Linked DNA regions of Elephas maximus indicus. The main gene of each other region encodes a partner of the protein of the gene in region 2 in a complex. Links are inferred from orthologs where the notes say so. Each region holds a gene or a part of one and is shown on either strand. Other genes may lie near its edges. The genes, in order: YWHAB and PEAK3.

The links.
Region 1: the proteins of PEAK3 (region 2) and YWHAB are in contact, whole or in part, in a cryo-EM structure (PDB 8DP5), measured with the Homo sapiens proteins. The link is inferred for Elephas maximus indicus from reciprocal best matches to the Homo sapiens genes PEAK3 and YWHAB. Residues at the interface, in NP_940934.1 of Homo sapiens: Arg66, Thr67, Gln68, Ser69, Leu70, Pro71, Thr72, Arg73; in NP_003395.1 of Homo sapiens: Val48, Lys51, Asn52, Arg58, Lys122, Arg129, Tyr130, Gly171, Leu174, Asn175, Val178, Glu182, Ile219, Leu222, Asn226, Leu229, Trp230.

What each region holds. Positions count from the first base shown.
Region 1 is NC_064843.1:24,485,832-24,501,729, forward strand, and holds the start of YWHAB (14-3-3 protein beta/alpha), read right to left. Parts: upstream 6,674-15,898; 5' UTR 6,515-6,673; intron 2,424-6,514; exon of another isoform or gene 2,338-2,423; intron 1-2,337. UniProt on the Homo sapiens protein: Adapter protein implicated in the regulation of a large spectrum of both general and specialized signaling pathways. Binds to a large number of partners, usually by recognition of a phosphoserine or phosphothreonine motif.
Region 2 is NC_064821.1:3,060,511-3,075,850, forward strand, and holds the start of PEAK3 (protein PEAK3), read right to left. Parts: upstream 8,333-15,340; 5' UTR 8,244-8,332; intron 7,846-8,243; 5' UTR 7,845-7,845; coding exon 7,763-7,844; intron 6,127-7,762; coding exon 5,594-6,126; intron 1-5,593.

The DNA.
Region 1 (15,898 bases), on a different chromosome or scaffold from region 2:
CAGGGCAGTTCTACTCTATCCTACAGGGCTGCTGGGAGTCGGAGTCGACCTCAGGGCAATGGAATTGGTTGGGGTTTTTTTTTTTTTAATAATAAATGTAATTTTATTCAAACATTTACAGGCCATTTATTAGAAAATAAGACACAACATATCTGAAATAGAACACTTAGAACTTACATCCAGTGGACATTTAATTGTGGAGGAAAACTACATCTCTCTTTCAAAATCCCTTGACCTCTTTTGTATCAGTTGTTGAGTATCATTGCTAAAGGGATGTCCAAATGCTCAAGGTTACACTGAAAACAACGGTGGAGGTGTTACGTGATTTGCCAAGGTCACACAATGGGAATCAACAACAGATACGACAATAAATTGATCCCCGGGTTGATCAATCCAAAAAGACAATATGCTCATTCTGTTCCATAAAAACAGCCCGTCTGTTGATCTTGTAAAGTGGTGTCAAAAGCCTGGGGCCCAAACAAACAAATGAAGCCTGTGCAGTAATGGGGGGCAAGGTAACCAATTAAAAAAAAAAAAAAAGCTTCAGACTCGCCAATATAATGGAATGACCCTGTCCAATTTACCAGCACCACATGCCACTTCTATATGGGGCAGTCCCAGGTAGCTCTAGAATACCTGCCCTCTTTGAGCCTCAGTTTTTTCATCCATAAAACAGGCCAATCTACTTAATAGGGTTCTTGGAAAGAGTAAATGAGTTCATGAAGCGAAACATTTAATACAGTTTCCGCACACTGTAAGAGCTCAAGTGGCAGCCACAGTATATTGCATACAAAAGGCTAACGAACAAATGGTCAGCCCCAGTTAAGGGACGCTTATTACGTACCTCATTTTCTTGTAAATCCAGGCTGCTTTTTTTAGAGACTTTTAAAAGAAAGCACACATGTTAACTTATCTACGCCTACTTATAAAATAACGCTTATCACAGTTTACTTCAAACGTTTCTGTTGGCTCCCACACTGGACTGTGGGCTTAAGGCAGGGACTCAGGCTTTCATCTTTGAACACCCAATGTGTAGCACAATGCCTGCCCGTTGAATATAAACTATTTGATCAATTGATGCATTTTTTTTTTAAAGGTGAAGAAGGCTGATTTTCCTGTGTAGACAGAAAGAGGCAGACCATATTTTATCTGTAAAATACAGACTGTATCTATTGTCTGCCTTAGACTCCTTTTTGAAAAGAGCCATCTCAGCTCTAATCAGGAGGCAACGCTACCCTTCTTTTTTTTTTTTTTTTAAACTAATATTCCTCAGCTACTAATCATTATATTTATAGATTCAAAAATCCAATCAGTTTCGGTTAAGGATGATGAAAAGCATTTGGTGATGGTTGCTCAACATGAAGAAGGCAATTAAAAAAAGAAAACAAACCCGTTGCCATCGAGTCAATTCCGACTCACAGCAACCCTATAGGACAAAGCAGAACTGCCCCATAGGGTTTCCAAGCAGCGCCTGGTGGATTGGAACTGCTGACCTTTTGGTTAGCAGCTGTGGCTCTTAACCACTACACCACCAGGGTTTCCAAGAGGACAGAGCAATGAAGGTAATTAGTGTCACTGAATTATGCACTCAAAAATGGTTAAAATGGCAAATGTTATACATGTTTTACCATGATTAAAAAAAAAATCCAACTACTAAGCTATACAGAAAGTCATATCAGCTAACTGGCTTAGTAAATAATTACAACCAAAATATCCACCATTTAAAATCCACCTGAAGTGCCAAGCACTGAGGAGTTTATAATAGTTCATGTAATCCTAAGTATCTAAGAAGGAGACCCCTATTACAGATGCCAGGAGTTAACCTGCCCAGGGACACACGGCCACATACAGCAGAGCTGGGATCTAAAACAACATTCATTTTAAAATTAATGCTCTTTCCTGTATGCTTCACTATTTCCTAAACATCAATTATAACTCCAATACTTACTTAACGGAAAAGATGGACTAGACAATTTTTTCAAGAGTCATGTAAAGTTACTACAGTTGAAATTTTAGTATAACTAGCTTAAAAAAACCAAAATAAAATTAAGTTAAAAATAGCATATGCCAAAAACTTATCAAACTGTCAAACGAACTTTAAGGCAAATAATAACAAATGAGAGGGCTCATATCTACTTTATTATAGCCTTTGATCTCTTTGCCCTGGTCAAAAGCAAACACCAAACTGGTCGCCACTGAGTCGACTCTGACTCATAGTGGCCCTCTAGGACAGAGCAGAGTCGCCCCGTAGGGTTTCTAAAGTTGTAAATGTTTACGGAAGCAGACTGCCATATCTTTCTCCGTCGTCTGAGCAGCTGGTGCGTTCGAACTACCAACCTTTCAGTTAGCAGCCGAGCGATTAATCACTGCACCACCAGGGCTCCTCGTCCTCGTCAAGGCATCAAGGACACTCAGAAATAACTTTTCTTGTCCGGTCTCTTTGGAAAAACAATGAAATAAACTAATCAGTACAGGAAAAAACTTACATAAGAGGACTAGCCAGTTTTTTTTTTTTTTTTAAATCATCTTCCCTAACCTACAGTCAGCTCAGAATGACTTGTTCTTTTGAGGCAAAATAGGCCACCAATCATTTCCATCTCATTCCAAGTATCAGAACTACATGAACTATGCTGATTGGAGTTCTTTTAGCTGAGAAAGCGGCAGGATGAGTGGTTTGTAGTACACATATTACAAAAAACTGCACATTAGTCTGATTTTCCTCCTCCAGTATCAACCTTAGAAAAATTCCCTCAGATTCCAGCTCCAACTGCTAGTTTCTCCATCATGACGCGTAGATGACTAAACCAAAAAAACCACACCCGTTGCGGCTGAGTTCATCCCGACTCACAGCGACCCTATAGGACAGAGTAGAGCTGCCCCATAGGATTTCCAAGGAGTCGCTGGTGGATTCAACTGCCGACCTTTTGGCTAGCAGCCCAGGGCTGCGCCACCAGGGCTCCATGTAGATGACTACCAGGACCATCTTCACGTAGACAGCCAAGTGGTTTCAAAGCCTGAAAGTTGCTATTATGTAATTTCTTACCCGGGCTAGCGTGAATTGTCGCCTCCCTTAGAAAAACACAGAAACCAAGGAACTTAAAGCACCTTTACAAGTAAATTTTAATTCGTGCTCTCAGGTATCCTCATAGTTTGATGCCAATGAAAGAACAGGCAGCATAACAGGATGTTATAATTTAGAACTTGCTTTCTACTTACATAGATATAGTCCCTCATCTCCTCCTCCTCAACAAAATATGGGAAGTCTAAAAGTCTACAGGGAAAGCAATATAATAAACAGAAATAAATAACGATGATCCTGACCAAATTCCCTAAGATGAAGAAGCTAGGGATGGATAAATCCATGTGCCACAAAGTAACTGATGAGCTTTTTCCCTAAGTATGAAGCAAGTACTAGAAAAACTGGATTTTTCACAGGCTTGTTACTAATGTACACCAGCAGTATTAAGGGATCCCTACGCGCCAGGATGGAGATACCCGTACCCCGTCGCCATCTTGTCGATTCCAACTCACAGAGACCCTATACAACAGAGGAGAACTGCTCCATAAGGTTACCAAGGCTATAATCTTTATGGGAGCAGACTGGTACATCCTTCTCCTGCAGAACAGCTGGTGGATTCGAACTGCCCACCTTTCAGTTAGCAGCTGAGCACTTAACCACTGTGCCACCAGCGCTCCCTAGGGTGGAGATATTTCCTCCCAATAAATTATATATTCAAAAATAGTTAAAATTCCTGTTCAAACACATCTATTTTAGTAGAATACATGCAGAGAAAAACTAAGGACTAAACGGTGTTCACAAGAAGAAAATGCATGTGTTGTTCTACCACACTTAGAAATCTATCATTCCCTGGAGCCAGACTGCCTTGGTTTGATTCCTGGCTCCAGCACTTACCATCTGTGTAACCTTGGGAAAATTATTTACCTTCTCTGTGCCTGCGTTTCCTCTTCTGTAAAATGAGGCTAACAGAGTTATCTATTGTTGGGTGTTATAAGGACTGAGTTTATATGTGTAAAGTGCTTACAGCAAAGCTTGTCACATTGTAAGTGATAAGCGGTAGCTATGCCTGATGCTACCTCATCGGTTGATAAATAAATCCCAAATAGATGGAATGCATACATACATCTACCTACATACATGTTTCTGTGTGTTTGTGTTCATGAATACATGATCGAATAACATCAAACACTTACTACTATGTGCCAGATACTTATTTTAATTATTGGATTCGCCGCAACAACCCAGCTAAGACTACATTACCATTCCCGTTGTACAGATGAGAACATGGGCTCGGAAAGACCAGAAATGGTATATACAAAATAAAGTTCTACAATAATATTTTTTGAAAGCAACATGTGTACAAGAGGGTTCGGTTTCATCAGGTTACAACTGAAGAAAAAAGCCATTAGCAGTGAACACTGTGGTTAAAAAACAAAACCAAAAGCTTATATTTAACAATTTACAGGTTGTAAAAATGCCTCATGGCAACTCTGCAGATAGGGAAACTAAGAACCAGAGATTTAAGTAATAAGCTGAAGTTCACACAGCTAGAAAATGCTGCAGGCAAGACCTGAATCAGATTTCTCTGACTCCAGGTTCACTGCTCTTTTCGCTTCTGTATCCACACAGCCAAATGGGCAAAACGCACTTTTTGCAGTTCCAAATCTCCGGAGACACAGCCTAGGGAACTAGCATCATGGGAATTTGCCCAGCCTGTTTTATGGAGCCTGCCTAGCTGATCTATAGAGCTCCAATTCTAAAATGGCTTCAACTTAACACAGGCACTGCATGATGGGAAATGTACAGAAGATTATAGGGTAGGAGCCATACTCCTGGGACTGACAGTCCATAAATATTTGCTACCGATGAATGAGGATATTCAATCTAAAAACTAGGTGTGTGGCCTAGGCCAAATCGCCTCATTTTTCATAAAGACTGCATCTGTAAGATGAGTGAATGGTTTCTTATCTCACTGAAACGAAAGATTAGGAAAATAATTCAGCAGCTGCCACTGGATCATCAGCCTTCCGTTTTGAAAGCCACACTTAAATTCTCACTTGTGTCCAGTAAAACCGATAGGTTTTCCCCTCACCACAACATGGGCTGCTAAGGGCATGAATTCTAGAAAAATGAGGGGCTCAGACCACTGATATCCATCCCCAAAAAAGAAATGGGTGTACTAGAAGCAGTCAAGAAAAAATTCATTAAGGACTAATATTTATAAATTTCCAAAAGGAAAACGCAAAAAGCTAAGTAGCCGCATACATATCCAATTCTATAAACAGCGTTATGTTCTATACACTGCATCCGAACATTTGAGACAGAGAGAGAAGTCCAGACGATTTTCATATTCTTACAAGCCCTTCACCTTTCTGCTTTGGCTTCTGTGGCTGTCTGATTTTCTATGATCATGACATCGTCTTGCCAAATTCCATCTCCCACACAGGCCAAGTAAAATCAGAGCTTGATGCTACCTAGCCTTAACAAAGAGAAATGCAGTGAGGGCAAGCACAAGAGACATGATTTTTATCGAAAGGTTGGCAAATTGTCTTACCAATACTGCCACCTTTGAAAGCCCCGTTACGTGCGAGTTCTCCATTTGCAATAGACAAGGGTGTATTTATTTTCTGAAAAAAAGGGGCACAAATCATGTCCACTCCTTCCTCACCACCAGGGAGGCCACCAAGCAAATTTCAGACCAAAAAACATGCTCTCATACAGTATGGGGGAATTTCGGGGGAGGACACAAAATACCTGAGCATTAAATGAAGGTAAATGCTGTGGGAAAATGCTTGGATTCCCAGCCTTTGATAATTTTTTTTTTCCCCCTGGGGATTCCACCTAACTCAGTAACCGGTTCCAACAAATGCATTTTCTTAACTCAAAACCTCAGCCCAGTGCTTCCCGGGTTAATCTCGGGTCCTCCCAGGCTCCATAACCAATGAACGACGATGAAATGGCTTTACTGCAAAGTGGGAGGGGGTTTTCCCCCCCGCTGTCTCCCAAGGTTAAACCCCTTACTCATCCAAAGAGAGTGATGCACGGGCCCCGGGGCTCGAGAACTCGCCCGTATTTGGTTATATCTCAATTTTTGGAAACCGGAAAACAGGGAGGAGGAGGTGATAGAGCTGAAAGGGGCCGCTCTCGCCGCCTGCGGCGAAGGGAGGGGTCGCGCGGGGATCGGAGCTGGAGAGGGAGGGCCCCGGGTCCACGGTCGGCGGTCTTGGCCGGCTCAGCATGGAACCGCACCCCGCCGCCAGGGCAGGGCAGGGCCGCAGGAGGCGAGGGAGGCCCGCGCCGCTCGAGGAGGCAAAGGGCCCGGCCCCGGAAGCAGGGAGGGGCCGCGGTGAGAACAGGCCCGCACCGCAGGCGGCCGCGCGGGACCTAGAAGGCCGCTCGGCTCTCGCCGGAGCCCACCCGCGCGGCCGCCGGAGCCGAAAAGGAGCCTCAGGCTTGGGTTCCCAGGGGCTTTGGGCGGACCCGGCGCGCACTCACCGTAGGAGGACTGCAGGCAGCAAAGACACTTCCCAGCGAAGCTCAGAGCGCGATGACCGCTTCCTTCCCAACCCCAATTCTCAGGCGGCGACGGCAGCGGCGGCGGCAGCTACCCCGGCTCCGGAATCGGCGGCGGGTGGCGGCAGCTCCACTTCCGCTCCGGTCGCCACTTCCGCTCCGGCCCAAGCCCCTCCCCGCCCCTGCGCCGTCTCGTCATTGGGCGAGCGGGGCACGGGGTTGCACCGGCCTCGCGGGAGGGGCACTGGCTGGAGGCTGGAGGAAGGGGAGCGGGATGCAGCTGGGCGGGGAAGTGCGGTGGGCCTAGGGTGGGAGCGCGGAGGAAGAAGGGGAAGGGGACGGAAATGGGGGGAAGCGAGGGGCGCGGGAAGAAGAAGCGGGAGGGAGGGTAGAGGGCGGAGCTGAGAGCGAGGGTCGGAGAAAGGGATCTGTGGGAACAAGGACAGGGAGACGGGACTGGGTTTAGGTGGAATGGGGGCATCAGGGTTATTCTCTCTACCTAGGCTGGGAATTCGCCTGGACCAGCCCAGAGACTCCAGTCATCGGTTCCCACTCCACCCCAAAGTAATCCTCACGAGGTCGGAGGCTGAGGCCCATCCCTTTTTCCTGTGTGCTTTGAAAAGGCAGGACCAAGTGAAGAACAGAAATTGCTCATCCCCTAAATTGTCACTTAATCCTCCCTTCACCCTATCAAGGTGCTTAATTCCCCCTTTCATAAACGGAAGAGGCCACGTAAAGCGCCAGGTTTCGATGGCGAAGGTCGCAGTGCGTGCGATCGCTTCACTGAGATATCCCTCCCCAAGGCTCGGGGAGGAAGCTTAAGAGAAGGAAACGGGCCTCCCAAGGCTCGCAACTCCCTTGACAGCTCTCACGCAACATTCTCTTCCTCCGAGGCAGGTGACCCTTAAACCCAGTTCTTCAAAACTCCTCTTGCCTGCGTTCCCTCCCGCTTGTTCATTTTTTTCAACAAATATTTATCAAGCACCTACCATATTGCCAGGTATTGTGCTTAGCGCTGGGGACGTGGCAGTGAATAAGACACACGGGAGTTTACAGTCGGGTAGGAGAAGGTAAAAAGTAAGTAGGCCTCCAAAGTCTCTCCTTTAAAAAAAAAAAAAATTAACCAGTTCCCCATGTGTATCAGAATAGTACTGTCCTCCATGTCCTTTACCCTTTTTTTTATAGTGATAACCACCTAATTCATTACCCAGCCATGCACTCATCAACTGCCAGAGTGATATTTTTAAAATGCTGTTCTAATGCGTGCTTTCCTTGCTTAAATCTTTTGGTGACTGCTCAGACCTAGAAGACAATATGTAAGCTCCTTTAGTGTGACAATCAACCTTCTCCAGAAGCTGCCTTACTTTCAGCCTTTACCTCCTATTTCTCCACGTCTGAAACACCCCAGTTTTATCGGATGACCTCTTATCCTTCCAGTATGCCATGTCCAGTATTTCTAAACAGTTTGAATTAGTTGCCAATGTTTTTTACAAACAGATTTCACTTGGAAATTGGCATTTCTTCCTTGTTGGACAGCTCTGGGTCCACATTTCTGTGTGGCAATAATTGGCTGAAGCCGAAGAGTGCCCTTGCTATATTACGTATGGGTTTTCCAAGGGGTCCCCTCCCCACCTGAGCCTGCTTTCCTCATTTATGTTGCCTGTTTTGTAGGAATTTGTGTCAGTGACCCCTGTACTACCCACATTCTACACTGTTGTATGGTGTACACAGAGTAGGTTTAACTTCAAAACCTCTAAATTTGAACCGTAGTGAGGTTTCCTAGTGGAAAAACCTCTCTGGGGATCAGTCTTTGGCAGCCAAACACCAGTAATCCCGAGGCTGCTCAGATTGAAGTGTTAATGTCACATGACTGTACCTCATGCCCCCATCCAGAAAACAGCCTAGTGGGCCAGAGGACTCAAGCTGATTACTCCCACAAATGACGTCATCAGTGCCTTGAGGGAAGAGAAGTGTCCTTTGCCGGGCATCCCTGGGTGCCTGCAGATGTTACATGGATTAGCTCTTTTCACCAGCTCTGCATTCTAGGCCCAAAAAGGCCAGGTGTGGGCAAACAACAGCCCATGGGCTAAATTCTACCTGTTGTGTGCCCATCGAGTTGATTCCGACTCATAGCGACCCTATAGGACAGAGTAGAACTGCCCCATAGGATTTCCTGGGCTGAAATCTTTACAGGAACAGATCAAAATAACAAATTTCCAAGGCTCTTCTCTCCGTGGAGCAGCCGGTGGATTCAAACCACCAGCCTTTCGACTAGCAGCTGAGAGCCAAACGATTATGCCACCAAAAAAAAGCTCCCTTAAATTCTACCTAGCGCCTGTTTTTGTAAATAAGGTTTTATTACAACACGGCCTTCTCATTTGTTTACGTATTGTTGATGGCGGTTTTGGTGTTACAGAGGCAGAGTTGTTGCAACAGAGACAGTATGGCACATAAAGTCTTTTTACTATTTGGCCTTTTATGGAAAAAGTTTACTGTGTTTTCGGTGAAGGTATTCATTTCCTAGGGCCCATGTAACAAAGCACCATAGATTGGATGACTTATAAGAACAGAAATTTATTGTCTCGCAATTCTGGAGGCTAGCAGTCCAAGTTCAGGGTGTCGGCAGGGCCATGCTCTCCGAAGGCTCTAGAGGAAGACCCTTTCTGGTCTTGCTCAGCTTCTGGAAGTCCCAGGAGTTCCTTGGCTTGAAGCTGTAGCATAGTGCCATTGTCACATGGTTGTCTTCCTCTTGTCTATGTTTCTTCTCTTTATGTGTTGTATAAAGAGGACACCACTCAGATTGCATTAGAGCCCCCCTACTCCAGTATCGAGGGTACTGGGTGTTTGTTTTTGGGTACTCCAGTATGACCTCATGTTAATTTAACTGATAACACCTTCAAAAATCCTGTTTCCAAACAAGGTCACATTCATAGGTAACTGGGGTTAGGACTTCAACATATCTTTTTTGGGGACACAATCCAATCCAAAACAGACATTATTATGTCTGAATATGAAGCTCGGAAATGCTGCTGCCTCCTTGTTAGCAGCCTGATGATGATGCAGAACAGAGCGGTAGAATCTGCGTACTGGATAACAGTGATAAACTTCTGAATTGACCAACCCTTTTTTAAAGACTACGGTCTTTCTAGACTTGCTCGTACGTGAAATAACAAATTTCCTTAAAGTTTAAGTCACCTTGTGGCAGATTTTTTTTTTTTAATTTAAAGTTGAAAGTGTATTATCTGATAGGGACACAAAAGAGATATTAAAATATAATGTGGTAAATGAAAATCATGGAAATATATATGTGCGTGGTCTTATAGAAGCCTGGGTAAAGTTTGGGGATATATTAGAAGATCAGGAAAGATTTGCTAAAAGAGGTGATACATGAGCCTTAAATTCCACAAAGATTTTTTATTGAGTCCAAGGCAGTATTAAAAAAGAAAAGTGGCAACATTTTGCATAAAGGAAAAAGGTTTTACAACAGTTAGTAGGTACCCAGCTCACCACCATTTTGCATCCCCACCAATGATAGATAAGGATTCCAATTTCCCCAGATCCTCACCAACGTTTGTTGTTTCCTGTTTTTTTTTTCTTTTATCTTGTCCATCCTAGTGGGAGTGAAATGGTATCTCATTGTGATTTTGATTTGCATATCTCTGACGGCTAATGATGCTGAGCATCTTTTCATGTGATTGATGGCCACTTGAATGTCCTCTCTGGAGAATGTCTATTCAAGTCCTTTGCCCATTCTGTGGTTGGGTTATTTGTCTTTCTGTTGTTAAATTGGTGAAGTTTTATATATATTTTGGTTGTTGTTAGGTTCTTGTTGAATATATGGTTTCTTAAGATACTCTCTCAGTTGGTAGCTTGTCTCATAAGAATAAACTTGAGACAGCTAGTGTATTTCCTTTCTTTTTCCTTCCTTCTTTTCTTCTTTTCTTCTTCCTTCCCTCCTTCCTTTCTTTTTCTTTTTATTATGATAAATTTCAAATAAACACAAAACTAGAGGGTACAGTAGAAAGTACAGTAAACCACCAGGTATATCCATAATCCAGCTTTATTTTACTATTCTATCAATTTCTCACATTTTTGCGGGGGAGGGGGCAGGAATATTTTACAGCAAATCCCAAACATATCATTGCATTCATAAATATCTTAGTATGTAGCTCTAAAAGATCAGTTTTTTTAAAAAAAACATAAGCATAATTCCATTATTACACTTAAGGAAATTATTAATAATTCCTTACTTTTTTTTCCTGATTGTCTCAGAAATACCTTTTTTATGTTGGTTTATTCGAATCAGGATTTAAACTAGGCCTTCATGTTGCATTTGGTTGCTAAATCTCTTTTAATCTGTAGTAGTTTCCCCTCCTCCTCCTTTTCTTATATAATTTATTTGTTGAAGAAACTGTGTAAATTATTTTACAGAGTTTCTCATAGCCTAGATGTGTTTTTTTTTTTTTTAGATGTGGCTGATTGGACCCTAGTGGTGTTTTTAGAATGTTACACTATCTCTTATATGTCTTGTAGACTGGTACTTAGATCTAGAGGCTTGAGTAGATTCTGCTTCAATTTTTTTGGTACGAATATTTTATACATGGGACTGTGTATTTCCCCTGGCATCATATCAGGAGACACATACTGTCTAATTGTTCCTCAGTGATCTTTTCAGCATGAAAACCCATTTCCTTTGGTTCTGGGATGTTGTAAAATATTTCTTTGACGATTCCCTCCCTTCCTGTCCCCATTTTCTATATTTTCACTTTCTGGAACTTCAGTTATTCAGATGTTTGGCTGTCTGAACTGGTTCTTTAATTTTATTATTCTTTTTTCCTTTCTTCTGTTTTTCATCTTTTGTCTTTGGCTCTACTTTCTGTATATTATTTTTAAACCTGCCGCCAGTCAAGGTTCTGTCCTGAATACAGGAACAGAAACCATGGTAGGTATTTTAAGCAGAAAGGAATGTAATAGGGGGATTAGATGCTTACAAACTAATTGGAAGAGCTGTAGTAGCAGAAAACCCAAAACCAGACATGTTGGTCAAGTTGATCCTGACTCATAGCAACCAAAAGGACAGAGCAGAACTGCCCCACAGGGTTTCCAAGGCTGTAAATCTTCACAGAAGCAGACTGCTACATCTTTTTCCCTCGAGGCAGCTGCTGGGTTCAAACTGCCAACCTTTCAATTAGCAGCCAAGCGCTTAATCACTGCACCATCAGAGCTGCTAGAGTAGCAGACGTCAGGGGAAACTTGTTTCGAAGTCCCCATAGCTGTGATTGAGAAGTTGGGGCTGCTACTGGCACTCCTAGTGCTACCACCGTAACTGCCTGGCACATAGGAAGCTGGGGACCAAGCACTGAATCAGAGAGCCTGGCCCTTTTCACTCTGGTCAAAAGTAAATTTCAAAGACAGGAGGGCTATTGTTTGGTTTGAATAAGAAGTTGAAATTTCGTGGTAGTCTGACATAGCAACTGGCATGAGTTATAATATTGCATATAACCTACGCATGAGGTCTTTGGTATCCATAATGCCAATTTTGACTTCATTTTAATAAAACAGGGCTGAGATCCTGACTCAGAAAGACCTGTAAGTGTAATCAGAAACGGAGTTCCCATACCTCACATTAACTTCGCCAGACAAGGGTAAAGGGTAGGCTGTGTCAAGAGTACTAGAGTTCTCCTAGACTCACAGAACTGAATTTTGGTCCTATAATCTCCTTTGTTCTCATGTAGATGAGGTCATTGGAAAGGTAGGCACCAGTAATGTAAAAAAAAAAAAAATATTATGAATCTGCATTTCCATTTTATGATAGCTGAACCAGAAATAAGTTTTACAAGGTGTCTAGGCTCTGACAATTTCTACCTGCAGAGAAAGTGACAAGGACTTGTCACGCTTCAGTACTTCCTCTCTAGCCTTGGAAAGTTCACAGAACGATCCGCCTCCAGTCTCCTTCTTCGGAGTACCAGCTGGGCAAAAAGAACCATTAGTTTATTGGATGTTTATGTGTGTATTTTAAGAGCGATATTTTTTAGCATTTAAGTAGGAAAACACCTGCTGTATTTTAAATAATATATTTTTATTGCATAGTGTCTTAGGCTAAGTTCTCTAGACAAGCAAAACCAGTGAAGTATATATACAGTCATCCCTTGGTATCCACGGGGGATTGGTTCCAGGACCCCTGACAGATACCAAAATCCATGATGCTCAAGTCCCTTTTATAAAATGGCATAGAATTTGCATATAACCTACACATATCCTCCTGTATACTCTAAATCATCTCTAGATTATTTATAATACCTAATACAATATAAATGCTATGTAAGTAGTTATACTGTATTGTTTAGGGAAAAATGAGAAGAAAAAAGAAGTCTGTACATCTTCAGTACAGACGCAACCATTGTAGGCCTAACTACATGGTACACATCAGACGTGAGGTGAACGGTGCTCAAATACCAAGTGCTGGAGAGAGACTGAGGGTCTGTGAAATGGCTGGCAGGCACAGCAGGGGATGCCTACACATCACTTTTTTTTTTTAATATTTTCGATTCACTGTTGGTTGAATCCACAGGTTTGGAACCCGCCAATACAGAACCCATGGATATAGAAGGCCAATTATATCAATTATATATATATATATATAGACAGAGAGAGAGATTTAGATTCATCTCAAGGAAATGGCTCTCTTGGTTGTAGAGGCTGAAGTCCCAAGTCTGTGGGTCAGGCTCAGGCTGGAGGCCTCTCCTGATTGACATAGCTGCAGGGGCTGACAAACCCAAGATCAGCAGGTCAGGTAGCTGGCTCACGGGCTGCAGAGGCTGGCGAATCCAAGATCACCAGGTGTCTTAGTCATCTAGTGCTGCTATAACAGAAACACCACAAGTGGATGGCTTTAACAAAGAGAAATTTATTTCTTTACACTAAAGTAGGCTAAAAATCTTAATTCAGGGCATCAGCTCCAGGGAAAGGCTTTCTCTCTTTGTCAGCCTTCTCATCAATCTTCCCCCAGACTAGGAGCTTCTCTACGCACGGACCCTGGGTCCAAAGGACACGCTCTGCTCCGGGCACTGCTTTCTTGGTGCTATGAGGTACCCCCCCTCTGCTAAATTCCCTTTCCTTTTATCTCTTGAGAGATAAAAGGTTGTGCAGGCTACACCCCAGGGAAACTCCCTTTACATTGGATCTGGGATGTGACCAGGTAAGGGTGTTACAATCCTGCCCTAATCCTCTTTAACATAAAATTACAATCACAAAATAGAGGACAACCACAGAATACTGGGAATCATGGCCTAACCAAATTGATACATTTTTAGGGGGCATAATTCAATCCATGACACCAGGTACGATGGCAGGCCACTGACTCACAGGCTGCAGAGAGTGACAAACCCCAAGACTGGCAGGCAGTACAGCAGGTCACTCACTCAAGTCCCAAGCACTGAAGGTCAGATGATGACGAGCCAGATGGAGGATCCAGAGCAAGCAAGAGAACTTTGCCAGAATATCCATATATACATATTGGATGCAGGACACACTCCTGAGGAAATTCCCCTTACAATTCACTGGCTGATCACATCAGAGCACATCATGGAGGATGACTACATCATTACGTAACTGCCAAACTACATCATGGCAAACCACTGAGAATCATGGCCCAGCCAAGATGACACACAACTTTAATCATCACAATTGCTAATGAAGTTGAAATCACTTTTACATCCTTTCCTACTTTGTTCTTCTCCCTCTCTCCTCAAGGAGATTGGTTATGTATATTTTCCTACCATGTTTTAATATTTTTACCACATATGTATATATCCATGGAAACCCTGGCGGCGTAGTGGTTAAGTGCGAATCCACCAGGCGCTCCTTTGAAACTCTATGGGCAGTTCTACTCTGTCCTACAGGGTCGCTATGAGTTGGAATCGACTCGACGGCACTGGGTTGGTTTTTTGGGGTATATATCCATGAACAATACATAGAGTTGCTTTGTGGGCTTTACAGTTTTATACGAATGCCATCTTATTGCGTGGATCATTGTGCTCTTCACATTTTTCATGCAGCGTTAAGTTCTTAAGACTTAACACATTTAGATTTACCGATCTGGTTGATTTTCACTGTTGTGACATTACTCCATTGCCTGAATATACCACAATGTATTTATTGATTGCATTTCTATAACACACATTGATGTTACAGGTTGTTTGCTCAACACTGCAGTGAAGACCCTGGAGCAGCTCATGGAGTGTCTCTAGGATGTATATTTAGAAGTGGAGCTGCTAGATCACAAAATGTGTACATTTTTCAGCTTTATTAAAAGTGGTTAAATTACATTGGTTGTACCTAGTAATATGCCCGTCAACACTGTAGCAAAATGCTGATTTTCCCCGTACCCACATCAACACCTAGAATTAAAAGGCGTTTTGAATTTGTGAATCTGATCTGTGTGAAATTGTATCTGCTTGTTTTAATTTGCATTTCTCTTATTGCCATAGAAGAAGGTAAGCAATTTTTTATATGTTTTTTGGTGATTCTACTTCCTCTCCCAAACGTTCATTTTACTGATGAGGGAACTATGCAAGAGCACACAATTTGCTATAGAAATGGGACTAGAACTTGGGTCTTCTAACTCCAGTCTTTTTTTTTTTTTCAAGTACACTGAATCACTTCCAAACATAAAATTTTAGTGTTATTGGTACTAACAGCAAAATTTATTGCTACTAATAGCAACAACAAAAGAAAAGATCTGTTTCTTTCCAACTGCTTGTAGAGAGTATGAATCCTCAATAGTTGGTTATTGTATCAGATAGGGTTAGGTTTGACTAATAATAACAGAGATGCCAAATATCAGTGACTCAAACAAGTTAGAAACTTTTATTTCCCCTCTCCTGTGAAAGTTGGAGATAGGAGGTTTGGGGCAATTTGGTCATTTGTACCGTGAAGACTTCTAGGACTTAGACTCCTTCTATCTTGTTACTTTGTGCAGTTGCCATTTCCAAGCTCATCTCATGGTCCAAAGTGGCTGCTCTGGCTCCTGCCATCACATCTGCACCTCAGCCAGCAGGAAGGAGGAAAAGACCATGAAAAAAGGGGGAGAATTAGGGTACAACCAGCTGCCTTTTAAGGACGTTTTCTAGAAGTTGCTATGTGATTGTCTAATTTACAGCTCTTTGGACAGAACTCAGTAACATGGCCACACTTGGCTATAAGGGAGGCTGTGCAATTTGGTGTTTATTCTAGGGGACCATGAGCCTAGGTAAACATGGTGGGTTCTTAACTATGGAACAAGGGGAGGCAGGATATAGAGAGACAACAAATTGTTTTGTTTACAGTATGCCCTTATGCAGTCTTTCTCCCACACAAGGGAGCTGA
Region 2 (15,340 bases):
CTGCCGTCAAGTTGATTCCCACTGATAGCAACCCCATAGGGTTTCCAAGGCTGTAAATCTCTACAGAAGGAGACTGCCACATCTTTCTCCCGCAGAGCACTTGTGGTTTAGACTGCTGACTTTTGAGTTAGCAGTCGGTCGCTCTAACCACTGCACTCCCGGGGTCAGTGGGTAATGTTAATTAACTTGAACGTTGTTGTTCTTGTTGTTAGGTTCCATCGAGTCGGTCCTGACTCATAGCGACCCTATGCACAACAGAACGAAACTGCCCCGTCCCGCACCACCCACAACTGTTGTTATACTTGAGTCCATTCTTACAGCCACTGTGTCAATCCATGTCATTGAGAGTCTTTCTCTTTTTCGCTGACCCTATGCTTTACCAAGCATGATGTCCTTCTCCAGGGATTGATCCCCCCGATAACATGTCCAAAATATGTGAGACGTAGTCTACCCATCCTTGCTTCTAAGGAGCATTCAGGTTGTACTTCTTCCAAGACAGATTTGTTTCTTTCTGTTGGCAGCCCATGGTATAGTCAATATTCTTTGCCAACACCATAATTCAAAGGCGTCAATTCTTAGGTCTTTCTTATTCATTGTTCAGCTTTTGTATGCATATGAGGTGATTGAAAACACCACAGCTTGGGTCAGGTTCACCTCAGTCCTCAAAGTGACATCTTAACACTTTAAAAAAGGTCTCTTGCAGCAGATCCATAAATATTAAAATTAAAAAAATTAAAAAAAACTCGTTGCCATCAAGTCAAGTCTCAAGACTCATAGCAACCCTATAGAACAGGGTAGAACTGCCCCATAGAGTTCCCAAGGAGCTCCTCATGGATTTGAACTGCCAACCCTTTGGTCAGCAGCCTTAACAGTTAACCACTATGTCACCAGGGTTTCCTCATAAATATTACAGCCTTGGAAACCCTTTGGGACAGTTCTACTCTGTGTTATATGGTCACTATGAGTTGGAATCGACTCGACAGCAATGGGTTTGTGTATGTGTGTGTGTGTGTGTGTGTGTGTGTGTGTGCATGCGAACTAGGGAGGGAGCCCCTGGGATACCGAGTTAACACACTCAGCTGCTAACCCAAGGGTTGGAAGTTCATGTCAATCCAGAGTGCAACAGAAGAAAGGCCTGACAATCTACGTCCAAAAAAGCAGCCACTGGAAACCCTGTGGAGCACAGTTCTACTGTGATACACGTGAGGTCGCCATGAGTTGGGGTCAGCTCCCCGGCAACTGGTGTTTTCAGCCAGGGAAGGGGGTGGCTAGCAGGTCACAGTTTCCTGCTGGCCAAGGGGTGGGTCGTTGCTGATTGCTTGGGAGCGAGGGGCCCAGCAGCTCCTGTACCAGCGCCGGGCTGTCCGATGGATAGACAACGCAGCCACACATACGGTTTACAACTGTCCAGTAACCACGTTAAAAAAAAGTGAAGAAAAACAGGTGAAAGTAATTTAGTATATTTTACTGAACCCAATGTGTCCAAAATATTATCATTTCAATGGCTCATTATTGTCGTTAGTTGCTGTCAAGTTGATTCTGACTCGTGGTGACCCCATGTGACAGAGTAGAACTGCCCCATGGGGTTTTCTAGGCTGTAACCTTTTTTTTTTTTTAATTTCACTTGACTTTTTTTTTGTTGTTGTTTAGATGAGGTTTATAGAACAAACTATCTTCTCAGTAAACAGTAAAACACACATTGTTTTATGACATTGGTTGACAACCCCACGACATGTCAACACTCTCCCTTCTCAACCTTGGGTTCCTCACTTGCTTTCCTGTCCCTTCCTATCTTCTAGTCTTTGCCACTGGGCCAGTGTGCCCCTTTAGTCTCGTTTTGTTTTATGGGCCTGTCTAAGCTTTGGCTGAAGGGTGAACCTCAGGAGTGACTTCATTACTGAGCTAAAAGGGTGCCGGGGGCCATACTCTCAGGGTTTCTCCAGTCTCTGTCAGGTCAGTCAGTCTGGTCTCTTTTTGTGAGATAGAATCTTGCTCTACATTTTTCTCCTGCTCTGTCCAGGACCCTCTATTGTGATCCCTGTCAGAGCAGTCAGTGGTGGTAGCCAGGCACCATCTAGTTGTACTGGACTCAGACTGGTGGAGGCCATGGTAGCTGTGGTCCATTAGTCCTTTGGACTGATCTTTCCCTCGTATCTTTAGTTTTCTTCATTCTCCCCTGCTCCTGAAGGGTTGAGACCAGTGGAGTATCCTAGATGGCCGCTCAGAGGCTTTTAAGACCCCAGATGGCACTCACCAAAGTAGAATGTAGAACATTTTCTTTATAAACTATGTTATGCTAAATGAGCTAGATGTTCCCCGAGACCACGGTCCCCACAGCCCTCAGCCTAGCAATTCTCTACCTCAGGGAGTTTGGATGCGTCTATGGAGCTTCCATGACCTTGTCTTGTACAAGTTGGGCTGGTTTCCCCAGTATTGTGTACTGTCTTACCCTTCACCAAAGTTGTTATTGTTAGGTCCTGTTGAGTCGGTTCCAACTCATAGCAACCCTGTGCACAACAATACAAAACACTGCCCGGTCCTTTGCCATCACAATCGTTGCTATGCTGGAGGCCACTGTTGCAACTCCCGTGCCAATCCATCTCCTTGAGGGTCTTCCTCTTTTTCGGTGACCCTCTGCTTTACCAAGCATGATGTCCTTCTCCAGGGACTGGTTCCTCTTTACGATACATCCAAAGTTTGTGAGACAAAGTCTCACCATCCTCAATTGAAGGAGCGTTCTGGCTGTACTTCTTCCAAGACAGATCTGTTGGTTCTCTTGGCAGTCCATCGTATATTCAGTATTCTTTGCCAGCGCCATAATTCACAGGCGTCAGCTTTTCTTCAGTCTTCCCTATTCATTGCCAGCTTTCACGTGCGTATGAGGCAATTGGAAACACTGTGTTTTGGGTCAGGGGCACCTTAGTCCTCAAGGTGACGTCTTTGCTTCTCAACACCTTGAAGAGGTCTTTTGCAGTCAATTTGCCCAATGCAATGCGTCCTTTGATTTCTTGGCTGTTGCTTCCATGGCTGTTGATTGTGGATCCGAGTAAAATGAAACCCTGGACAACCTCAGTCTTTTCTCCGTTTATCGTGATGTTGCTCCAGCTGTGAGGATTTTTGTTTTGGTTATGTTGACGTGTAGGCCATACTGAAGGCTGACGTCCTCTTCGCTTTCAGCAAGCAGGGTTGTGTCATCTGCATCACACAGGTTGTTAACGAGTCTTCCTCCAATCCTGATGCCCCATTCTTCTTCATATTGTCCAGCTTCTCAAATTATTTGCTCAGCGTACAGATTGAATAGGTATGATGAAAGGATACAACCCTGAAGCACACCTTTCCTGACTTTAAACCATGCAGTATCCCCTTGTTTTGTTCAAATGACTGCTTCTTGATCTATGTAAAGATTCCTCATGAGCACAATTAAGTGTTCTAGAATTCCCATTCATTGCAATGTTATCTGTACTTTGTTGTGATCCACACAGTCGAATGACTTTACATAGTCAATAAAAGCCACCGAAGTTACCAGTTATCTATTGTCCATTTAGAGTTTTTCCATCCCCCCCGTCCATCCCCTCCCTTGTAACCATCAAAGATTATTTCTTTTTGCATGTAAAACTTTTCATGAGTTTTTACAGTAGTGGTCTCATACGATATTCGTCCTTTCATGATCACTTATTTCACTCAGCATAAAGCCGTCCAGATTCGTCCATGTTGTGAGATGCTTTGCAGATTCATCATTGTTCTCTATCGTTGCATAATATTCCATCATGTGTATGTAGCATAGTTTGTTTATCCATTCACCTCCTGATGGGCATCTAGGTTGTTTCCCTCTTTTTGCTATTGTGAACAATGCTGCAATGAACATGGGTGTGCGTATGTCTATTCGTGTGACAACTCTTATTTCTCTAGGATATATTTCTAGGAGTGGGATTGCTGGATCATATGATATTTCTATTTCTAGCTTTGTAAGGAAGTGCCATATCATTTTCCACAATAGTTGTATCATTTTGTATCCCCACCAGCAGTGCATAAGAGTTCTAATCTCTCAGCAGCTTCTCAAACATTTGTTATTTCCTGTTTTATTGATTCGTGCTGGTAATGCTGGGGTGAGATGGTATCTCATCGTAGTTTTGATTTGCATTTCTCTAATGGCTAGTGATCGCAAGCATTTCCTCATCTGCCTGTTGGCCACTTGAATGTCTTCTTTGGTGAAGTGTCTGTTCATTTCCTTTGCCGATTTTTCAATTGGGTTATTTGTCTTTTTGCTGTAGAGGTGTTGGATTTTCCTGTAGATTTTAGAGATTAGAACTTTGTCTGATCTGTAATAGTCAAAAACTGTTTCCTCAGTCTATAGGTTCTCTTTTTACTCTTTTGGTGAACCTTTTGATGAGTGTGTTTAATTTTTAGAAGATCCCAGTTATCTAGCTTATCTTCTGGAGTGTGTGTGTTGTTGGTTATGGCTTGTATCCTGTTAGTGCTGTGTATTAGGGCCTCTAGCATTGATCCTATTTTTTCTTCTATCAATTTTATAGTTTTTGGCTTTATATTTAGGTTTTTGATCCATTTTGAATTAGTTTTTGTGTCTATGGTGTGAGGTACGGGTCCTGTTTCATTTTTTTGCAGATGTACATCCAGTTTTGCCAGCACCATTTGTTCAAAAGGCTGTCTTCTTCCCATCTGATGGACTTGGAGCTCCTGTCGGCTAAAATCTCTATGGAAGCAGATCACCAAGACTCTCTCCTGCAGAGCTGCTGGGTGAGTTCAAACTGCCGACCTTTTCTGGTTAGCAAGCAGGCTTATTAATGGGCTGTTTTACATTCTTCTTCTCCCTTCCTTTCTTCCCTCCTTCCTTCCTCCCTATCTTCCTCCCTCCCTCTCCCTTCTTTCTTTCTTTTTTTTTCACTAAGTCTCTGAGATCTCATGTGTAGTTTCAATTTATCATATATCTCAATGCCGACAGATCACAGTTCAAGTGTTCCATAGCCACAGCCACGTGTGGTCAGGGACCTTGGCACTGGATAGCGAAGCTCTAGAAGGTCAAGAGGACATCAGCTCTGGGGATTACGTTAGAATCACCTGGAGGTGGCATTTAAAAATGATAGCTGCTAGGGTGGGGTTCTGGGTGTGGGTATTTGTTATGGGGTGAATTGTGTCCCCCCAAAAAAGATAGGCTGAAATCCTAACCCCAGTACCTGTGAACACGACCCTGTTTGGAAATAACGTCTTTGAAAATTTTATCAGCTAACTTGAAGTCATACTGTAGGCAGGGGGGCCCCAAATCCAATAGGAAAACCAAACTCCAACTCATGACAACCCCACGCATGTTAGAGTAGAAGTCCATTCCATAGGGTTTTCAGTGGCTCAGTTTTCTTGAAGTAGATTGGCAGCCCTTTCTTCTGAGTGTCTCTGGATGAGCTCAAACCTATAACCTTTCCAGTATGAGTGGAGTCCTTGTAAGAGAACATGAGTCGGAGTCGGCTTGATGGCAATTCTTTTTTTTTTTTGAACATGGGTTATGGGTTGTGCCTAAGATGGAAAATTGGGGGTGAGGCAAAGCTGGGTGCCACCCCAGCATGGGGTAGCCTGTGCTCACCTTGGCGGCCAGGATGTGCCAGGCGTCCTTGTTCACGCGAACCACGCGGTAGTAGATGGCGTCCCCGCTGTCCACGTAGGGTGAGTCGTCCAGAAGGCGGAAGCTGTGGCTGGGGTTGCAGGGCCCAGGGTGGCCCCCCAAGAGCCGGGTGTGGAGACGGGCATGGATGGTGCTGAGACTGGCCAGCTGCCGGGCGGCGAGTGTGTCGTGCACTGCCTCCAGGTTGTTCAGGTCTTGGAAGAAGCAGCCCAGCTCAGTGTCCGGCGTGCTGAAGGTCAGCTCTTCGAGGAAACTGGCTGGGCTGACCCTGTTTTCAGCCTCCTGGCTCTTGTCCACGCTGCGGGACCCCAGGAGGGGCCTCCGAGGCTGCCTGGCGTGGGCAGGGCTGGGGCCAGGGGTCCCGTAGGTGGGCAGGGACTTGGTTCGAGTAAGGGTCTTCTTGGGCAGGGGTGGGGGCTTCAGGTCATCCGAGGGGGACCCAAGTGCTCGGAGGCGGCAGGCCTTGGAGGGTAACAGGTGGGTGCGGATCTCACCTGTGGAAGAGGGAGGGCTGTGAGGATGTCAGGTGTGTGGGACCCAGGACACCTGACTCAGCCCCTCGGCCTCGATGGTCCCACCTCTAAAATGGGAATCATAATGGTATGTGACTCCCCCATGCCCCATGGGGTAGGGATGGTGTTCTGGGCTGAACTGTGTCCTCCCAAAAGACATGCTGATGTCCTAAACTCCAGTACCTGTGAACATGACCTAGTTTGGAAACAGGGTCTTGGTGGACATCATTAATTAAGTTAAAAATGGGGTCAGACTAAAGTAGAAAAACACCAAAAAAACAGTCATTGTCTAGTCAGTTACAACTCATGGTGACCCCACGTGTGTCAGAATAGAACCGTGCCCCACAGGGTTTTCATAAGTAGATTGCCAGGCCTTTCTTCTGGGTGGACTTGAGCCTCCAAACTTTTGGTTAACAGCCAAGCGCATTAAGCAGACTCCTCCTGGACTAGGGTGTGCCCTAAATCCAATGGCTATTGTCTTAACTAGAGAAAGGAGAAAGAAATACGGACAGAGGGCAGACGGCCACGTGAGGACAGAGGCAGAGACTGGAGTGATGCAGCCACAAGTCCAGGAACGCCCAAGGCCACCAGAAGCTGGAAGAGACAAGGAAGGACCCTTCCCTAGAGCCTTCAGAGAGAGCACAACCCTGCCGACACCTTGACTTCAGATGTTAGGCCTCCAGAATGAAGACAGAGCAAATCTGTTGTTTCAAGCCCCCCAGTGTGTGTGGTACCTCGTTACAGAAGCCCCAGGAAATGCAGGTGTTATGGATTGAATAGTGTCCCCCCAAAATAAGTGTGGTAAATCCTGACCTCTATGCCTGTGGCTGGAGCCCTGGTGGTGCAGTGGTTAAGAGCTTGGCTGCTAACCAAAAGGTCAGCAGTTTGAATCCAACAGCCACTCCTTGTAAACACTATGGGGCAGCTCCTCTCTGTCCTGTAGGGTCCCTATGGGTCAGAATCGACTTGATGGCAACAGGTTTTTTTATGCCTGTGGTTGGAGCCCTGGTGGTGCAGTTGTTAAAGGCTCAGCTGCTAACCAAAAGGTTGGCAGTTCGAATCCACCAGCCACTCCTCAGAAACCCTGTGGGGCAGTTCTACTCTGTCCTGTAGGGTCACTATGAGTTGGATCCAACTCTAGGGCAATGGGTTTGGTTTTTGGTTTTACTCCTGTGGTTATAATCCCATTTGGGAATGGGTTGTCTTGTTATCCGGATGAGGCAGGGTTAGTGGAGGGTGTTTACTGAGTCAATCTCTTACGAAATACAGAAGGGCAGGTTAAGCAAGCAGAGATGGGGGAAGATGCCAAGCCACACAGAGATCTCCAGGGAACCAGGAAACAAGCTGAAGACCGGAACCTTCCCCCAGGGCCAACAGAGAGAGAAAGCCTTCCCCCAGTTCTGTGCGTTAAAGCCACCACTTACGGAGTTTGTTACGGTGGCACTGGATGCCATCCCCAGTGTGCAGATGAGGAAGCTGAGGCTCACGGAGCGACAGGCCCTGCCTAGCGCCAGGTAACCCCATTTTCCTGTGTGACTGCCCCTCTCTGAGCCCCGGTTTCATTTCTACAAGTGGGTGGCCCCACCCTGCTGCGCCCAGCCACCTCTAAGTCACTCACCCAGATTGCTGTACGTGGGCTCCTTTGACCAGGTGGGGATGTCGGGCGCGAGGGTCTCGGCGGGTGGCTCGGGGCTGCTCATGCTGCAGGGGAAAGTTGGAGTTGGGGCGCATAGGAGTGGGTGTGTGCAGGGTGTCCGTGGGTGCATGCAGGTGGATGTGAGCAAGGTTCATGGAGGGAGAGACAGGGCCCTAGGTGAGAGTACGAGACCCTAACTCTGGCTCCTGTTGCCCCCTTACCCTGCTGTGGCACCCTGGGTGGCTCTGTAGCCACTCTGGGGTCATTCTGCATGTGTGACAATGTCACCATCAGCCTCCAGGGACATGGACGGACGGCAGCACCGAGGCCAGGCTGCCAGAGGACAGCTGGGGGTGGGCCACGAAGGGAGGCACCCACCCCCCAACTCCAGCTCACCCCAGATTGAGAAAGTTGCCCGTTCTGCCATTCCCTACCGCAGCCCACCCCCCCAGGAGCCCCCTACCTCAGGACAGGAGCCTGGAACAGGTTTCAAGTGACCAGCCGGTGGGGGGGCGGTCCTTAGGGCCAACTTCCAGCAGCTGCAACCAGTGGCCTCAGGGATGTCTGCCCGATGTCGAGAACGGGAAACATCTGGGCAACGGTTTGACCGCGGGCCAAGGCCCAGGGGGAGGGCGGGGCCCTTTTTGCAGTACTTCCCCAGCCCGGGGCCCACACCCCCACCTGCCCTCACAGGGCAGGAAGCAGAAGGAACAGCATTCCAGGCAGAAGGAAGAGACTGGGAGAGACCCGGAAGTGAATGGTTCACCTGACAACATGACGCTGAGTGAAAACAGCCAGACACAAAAGGACAAATATTGTAGGATCCCACCTCTGGGAAATATCCAGAATAGGCAAAAGCGAGCAGGCCAAAGTTATTGGTGGTTACCACGGGCAGAAGGGGCCCTGATGGCACAATGGTTAAGCACTCAGCTGCTAACTGAAAGGTCGGTGGTTCAAATTCACGCAGCAGCTCCATGGGAGAAAGAACTGACGATCTGTAAAGATTGTTGTTGTTGTTACGCACCGTCGAGTCAGTTCCGACTCATAGCGACCCTGTGCACAACAGAACGAAACACTGTCCGGTCCTGCGCCACCCTCACAACCATTGTTATGCTTGAGCCCATTGTTGCAGCCACTGTGTCACTCCATCTTGTTGAGGGTCTTCCTCTTTTTGGCTGACCCTCTACCTTACCAAGAATGATGTCCTTCTCCAGGGACTGATCCCTCCTGACAACATGTCCAAAGTATGTGAGACAGAGTCTCACCATCCTTGTTTCCAAGGAGCATTCTGGTTGTATCTCTTCTAAGACAGATTTGTTCGTTCTTTCGGCAGTCCACGGTATGTTCAACATTCTTCACCAACATCACAATTCAAAGGCGTCAATTCTTCTTCGGTCATCCTTATTCATGGTCCAGATTTCACACACATATAATGTCATTGAAAATACCATGGCTTGGGTCAGGCGCACCTTAGTCTTCAGGGTGTCATCTTTGCTCTTCAACACTTTGAAGCAGTCCTTTGCAACAGGTTTGCCCAATGCAGTGCATCTTTTCCTTTCTCGACTGGTGCTTCCACGGCTGTTGATTGTGGATCCAAGTAAAATGAAATCCTTGACAACTTCAATCTTTTCTCCATTTATCATGATGTTACTTATGGGTCTAGTGAGGATTTTTGTTTTCTTTATGTTGAGGTGTAATCCATACTGAAGGCTGTGGTCTTTGATCTTCATCAGTAAGTGCTTCAAGTCCTCTTCACTTTCAGCAAGCAAGGTTGTGTCATCTGCATAACGCAGGTTGTTAATGAGTCTTCCTCCAATCCTGATGCCCCGTTCTTCTTCGTATAGTCCAGCTTCTCGGATTATTTGCTCAGCATACAGATTGAGTAAGTATGGTGAAAGCATGCACCCCGACACACACTTTTCCTGATTTTGAACCACACAGTATCCCCTTGATCTGTTCCAATGTCTGCCTCTTGGTCTATGTACAGATCCCTCATGAGCACAATTAAGTGTTCTGGAATTCCCATTCTTCACAATGTTACCCATAATTTGTTATGATCCACACAGTCGAATGCCTTTGCATAGTCAATAAAACACAGGTAAACATCCTTCTGGTATTCTCTGCTTTCAGCCAGGATCCATCAGACATCAGCAATGATATCCATAGTTCCACGTCCTCTTCTGAAACCGGCCTGAATTTCTGGCAGTTCCCTGTCGATACACTGCTGCAGCCGTTTTTGAGTGATCTTCAGCAAAACTGTACTCCCATGTGATATTAATGATATTGTTCGGTAATTTCCGCATTCGGTTGGATCACCTTTCTTGGGAATAGGCATAAATATGGATCTCTTCCAGTCAGTTGGCCAGGAAGCTGTCTTCGAAATTTGTTGGCACAGATGAGTGAGCACTTTCAGCTCTGCATCTGTTTGTTGAAACATCTCAACTGATATTCCATCAGGTCTTGGAGCCTTGTGTTTCCCCAATGCCTTCAGTGCAGCTTGGACTTCTTCCTTCAGTACCATCAAGTTCTGCTCATATGCTACCTCTTGAACTGGCTGGACATCTACCAATTATTTTTAGTATAGTCACTCTGTGTCTTCCTCTCACCTTCTTTTTTTTTTATTATTAACTTTTATTGAGCTTCAAGTGAACGTTTACAAATCAAGTCAGACTGTCACATATAAGTTTATATACACCTTACTCCTTACTCCCACTTGCTCTCCCCCTAATGAGTCAGCCCTTCCAGTCTCTCCTTTTGTGACAATTTTGCTAGCTTCCCTCTCTCTCTATCCTCCCATCCCCCCTGCAGACAGGAGATGCCAACACAGTCTCAAGTGTCCACCTGATATAATTAGCTCACTCTTCATCAGCATCTCTCTCCCACCCACTGTCCAGTCCCTTTCATGTCTGATGAGTTGTCTTCGGGGATGGTTCCCGTCCTGTGCCAACAGAAGGTTTGGGGACCATGACCACCAGGATTCCTCTAGTCGCAGTCAGACCGTTAAGTTTGGTCTTTTTGTGAGAATTTGGGGTCTGCATCCCACTGATCTCCTGTTCCCTCAGGGGTCCTCTGCTGTGCTCCCTGTCAGGGCAGTCATCGATTGTGGCCCGGCACCAACTAGTTCTTCCGGTCTCAGGATGATGTAGGTCTCTGGTTCATGTGGCCCTTTCTGTCTCTTGGGCTCTTAGTTGTAGTGTGGCCTTGGTGTTCTTCATTCTCCTTTGCTCCAGGTGGGTTGAGACCAATTGATGCATCTTAGATGGCCGCTTGTTAGCATTTAAGACCCCAGACGCCACATTTCAAAGTGGGATGCAGAATGTTTTCATAATAGAATTATTTGGCCAATTGACTTAGAAGTCCCCTTAAACCATGGTTCCCAAACCCCCGCCCTTGCTCCACTGACCTTTGAAGCATTCATTTTATCCCAGAAACTTCTTTGCTTTTGGTCCAGTCCAATTGGGCTGACCTTCCATGTATTGAGTGTTGTCCTTCCCTTCACATAAAGCAGTTCTTATCTACTAATTATCAGTAAAAAACCCTCTCCCTCCCTCCCTCCCTCCCTCCCTCCCCTCATCGTAACCACAAAAGTATGTGTTCTTCTCAGTTTATACTATTTCTCAAGATCTTATAATAGTGGTCTTATACAATATTTGTCCTTTTGCCTCTGACTGATTTCGCTCAGCATAATGCCTTCCAGATTCCTCCATGTTATGAAATGTTTCAGAGATTCGTCACTGTTCTTTATTGATGCGTAGTATTCCATTGTGTGAATACACCACAATTTATTTACCCATTCATCCGCTGATGGACACCTTGGTTGCTTCCACCTTTTTGCTATTGTAAACAGAGCTGCAATAAACATGGGTGTGCAGATATCTGTTTGTGTGAAGGCTCTTGTTTCTCTAGGGTATATTCCGAGGAGTGGGATTTCTGGGTTGTATGGTAGTTCTATTTCTAACTGTTTAAGATAACGCCAGATAGATTTCCAAAGTGGTTGTACCATTTTACATTCCCACCAGCAGTGTATAAGAGTTCCAATCTCTCCGCAGCCTCTCCAACATTTATTATTTTGTGTTTTTTGGATTAATGCCAGCCTTGTTGGAGTGAGATGGAATCTCATCGTCGTTTTAATTTGCATTTCTCTAATGGCTAATGATCGAGAGCATTTTCTCATGTATCTGTTAGCTGCCTGAATATCTTCTTTAGTGAAATGTGTGTTCATATCCTTTGCCCACTTCTTGATTGGGTTGTTTGTCTTTTTGTGGTTGAGTTTTGACAGAATCATGTAGATTTTAGAGATCAGACGCTGGTCGGAGATGTCATAGCTGAAAATTCTTTCCCAGTCTGTAGGTGGTCTTTTTACTCTTTTGGTGAAGTCTTTAGATGAGCATAGGTGTTTGATTTTTAGGAGCTCCCAGTTATCTGGTTTCTCTTCGTCATTTTTGGTAATGTTTTGTATTCTGTTTATGCCCTGTATTAGGGCTCCTAGGGTTGTCCCTATTTTTTCTTCCATGATCTTTATCGTTTTAGTCTTTATGTTTAGGTCTTTGATCCACTTGGAGTTAGTTTTTGTGCTTGGTGTGAGGTATGGGTCCTGTTTCATTTTTTTGCAAATGGATATCCAGTTGTGCCAGCACCATTTGTTAAAAAGACTATCTTTTCCCCAATTGACTGACACTGGTCCTTTGTCAAATATCAGCTGCTCATATGTGGATGGATTTATATCTGGGTTCTCAATTCTGTTCCATTGGTCTATGTGTCTGTTGTTGTACCAGTACCAGGCTGTTTTGACTACTGTGGCTGTATAATAGGTTCTGAAATTAGGTAGAGTGAGGCCTCCCACTTTCTTCTTCTTTTTCAGTAGTGCTTTGCTTATCCGGGGCTTCTTTCCCTTCCATATGAAATTGGTGATTTGTTTCTCTATCACCTTAAAAAATGACATTGGAATTTGGATCGGAATTGTATTGTATGTATAGATGGCTTTTGGTAGAATAGACATTTTTACTATGTTAAGTCTTCCTATCCATGAGCAGGGTATGTTTTTCCACTTAAGTATGTCCTTTTGAATTTCTTGTAGTAGAGCTTTGTAGTTCTCTTTGTATAGGTCTTTTACATCCTTGGTAAGATTTATTCCTAAGTATTTTATCTTCTTGCCTCCCACCTTCTTTTGATGCTTCCTGAATCATTTAACATTTTCTCCATAGAATCCTTCACTATTGCAACTTGAGGCTTGAAATTTTTCTTCAGTTCTTTCAGCTTGAGAAATACTGAGCCTGTTCTTCTCTTTTGGTTTTCTATCTCCAGGTCTTTGCACGTGTCATTATACTACTTTGTCTTTTGGAGTTGCCCTTTGAAATATTCTGTTCAGCTCTTTTACTTCATGATTTCTTCCTTTTGCTTTAGCTACTCAACATTCAAGAGCAAGTTTCAGAGTCTCTTCTAACATCCATTTTGGTCTTTTCTTTCTTTCCTGTCTTTTTAATGACCTTTTGTTTTCTTCATGTATGATGTCCTTGATGTCATTTGACAACTCGACTGGTCTTCGGTCATTAGTGTTCAGTGCATCAAATCTATTCTCCAGATGGTCTCTAAATTCAGGTGGGATATACTCAAGGTCATATTTTGGCTCTCATGGACTTGTTCCAATTTTCTTCAGTTTCAACTTGAACTTACATATGAGCAATTGATGGTCTGTTCTACAGTCAGCCCCTGGCCTTGTTCTGACTGATGATATTGGACTTTTCCTTCAACTCTTTCCACAGATGTAGTTGATTTGATTCCTGTGTATAGTCACCATTGATGTTGTTGAAAAAAGGTATTTGCAATGAAGAAGTTGTCGGTCTTGCAAAATTCAATCATTTGATCTCTGGCATGGTTTCTGTCACCAAGGACATATTTTCCAACTACCACTCCTTTTTTGTTTCCAACTTTCCCATTGCAATCGCCAGTAATTATCAATGCACCTTGATTGCATGTCCGATCAATTTCAGACTGCAGCAGCTGATAAAAATCTTCTATTTCTTCATCTTTGGCCCTACTGGTTGGTGCATAAATTTGAATAATAGTCGTATTAACTGGTCTTCCTTGTAGGCGTATGGATATTATCCTATCACTGACAGCGTTGTACTTCAGGATAGATCTTGAAAGGTTCTTTCTGACGATGACTGCAACACCATTCCTCTTCGAGTTGTCATTCCCACCATAGTAGACTATATGATTGTCCGATTCAGAATGGCCAATACCAGTCCATTTCAGCTCACTAATGCTAGGATATCGATGTTTATGCATTCCATTTCATTTTTGACGATTTCCAATTTTCCTAGATTCATGCTTCGTACATTCCTGGTTCTGATTATTAATGGATGTTTGCAGCTGTTTCTTCTCATTTTGAGTGGTGCCATATCAGCAAATGAAGGTCCTAAAAACTTGATTCCATCCACGTCATTAAGGTGGACTCTACTTTGAGGAGGCAGCTCTTCCCCAGCCGTATTTTGAGTGCCTTCCAACCTGGGGGGCTCATCTTCCAGCACTATATCAGGCAGTGTTCCACTGCTATTCATAAGGTTTTTACTGGCTAATGCTTTTCAGAAGTAGACTGCCGGTTCCTTCTTCTTAGTCTGTCTTAGTCTGGAAGCTCAGCTGAAACCTGTCCACCATGGGTGACCCTGCTGGTATTTGAATACTGGTGGCATAGCTTCCAGCATCACAGAAACAGGAAAGTCCCCACAGTATAACAAACTGACAGATGCATGGGGGAGTACAAGTACTTTATACTTTTTTTTTTTTAATAACTTATTTTGTTTTTGTCATTGAGAATATACACAGCAGAATATAGGCCAACTTCACAGTTTCTCTATGTACAATTCAGTGACATTAATGACATTCTTTAGGTTGTGCAATCATTCTCACCCTCCTTTTCTGGGTGGTTCCTCTTCTGTGAACATAAGCTCACTGCCTCCTAAGGTTCCCATTTAATCTTTACAGCTGCTGTTGTCAATTTGATCCCATATACATAGATCTTAAAAGAGCACAATGCTCAAGGCAGACACAAGCTATTTTGTTTTAAGAAGACTTCAGGGGATATTTTTGGTTTAAGATTTAAAGATTATCTCAGGGTAATAGTTTCAGGGATTCATCCAATCTCCACGGGTCCAGAAAGTCTGGAGTCCATGAGAATTTGAAATTCTGTTCTGCATTTTCCCGCATTTGATCAGGATTCCTCTATAGAATCCTTGATCAAAATGTTCAGTAAAGGTAGCCAGGCACCATCCAGTTCTCCTGGTCTCATGGCAAAGGAGGCAGTTGTTCCTGGAGCCAGTTAGCCACACATTCTCTGTCCTCCTCCTGTTCCTGACTCCCCTCCTTCCTCTGTTGCTCCAGGCGAATAGAGACCAATTGTTGTGCCTTGGGTGGCCACTTGCATGTTTTTAAGATCCCAGGCCCTAAGCGATGACCTGGGAAGTAGAACAGAAACACTAAAAGCTTTACTAGGCCAATTAACTGGGATGTCTCAGGAAACCATGACCCTAAACCTTCAAGCCAAGGAATCGAATCCCGTGA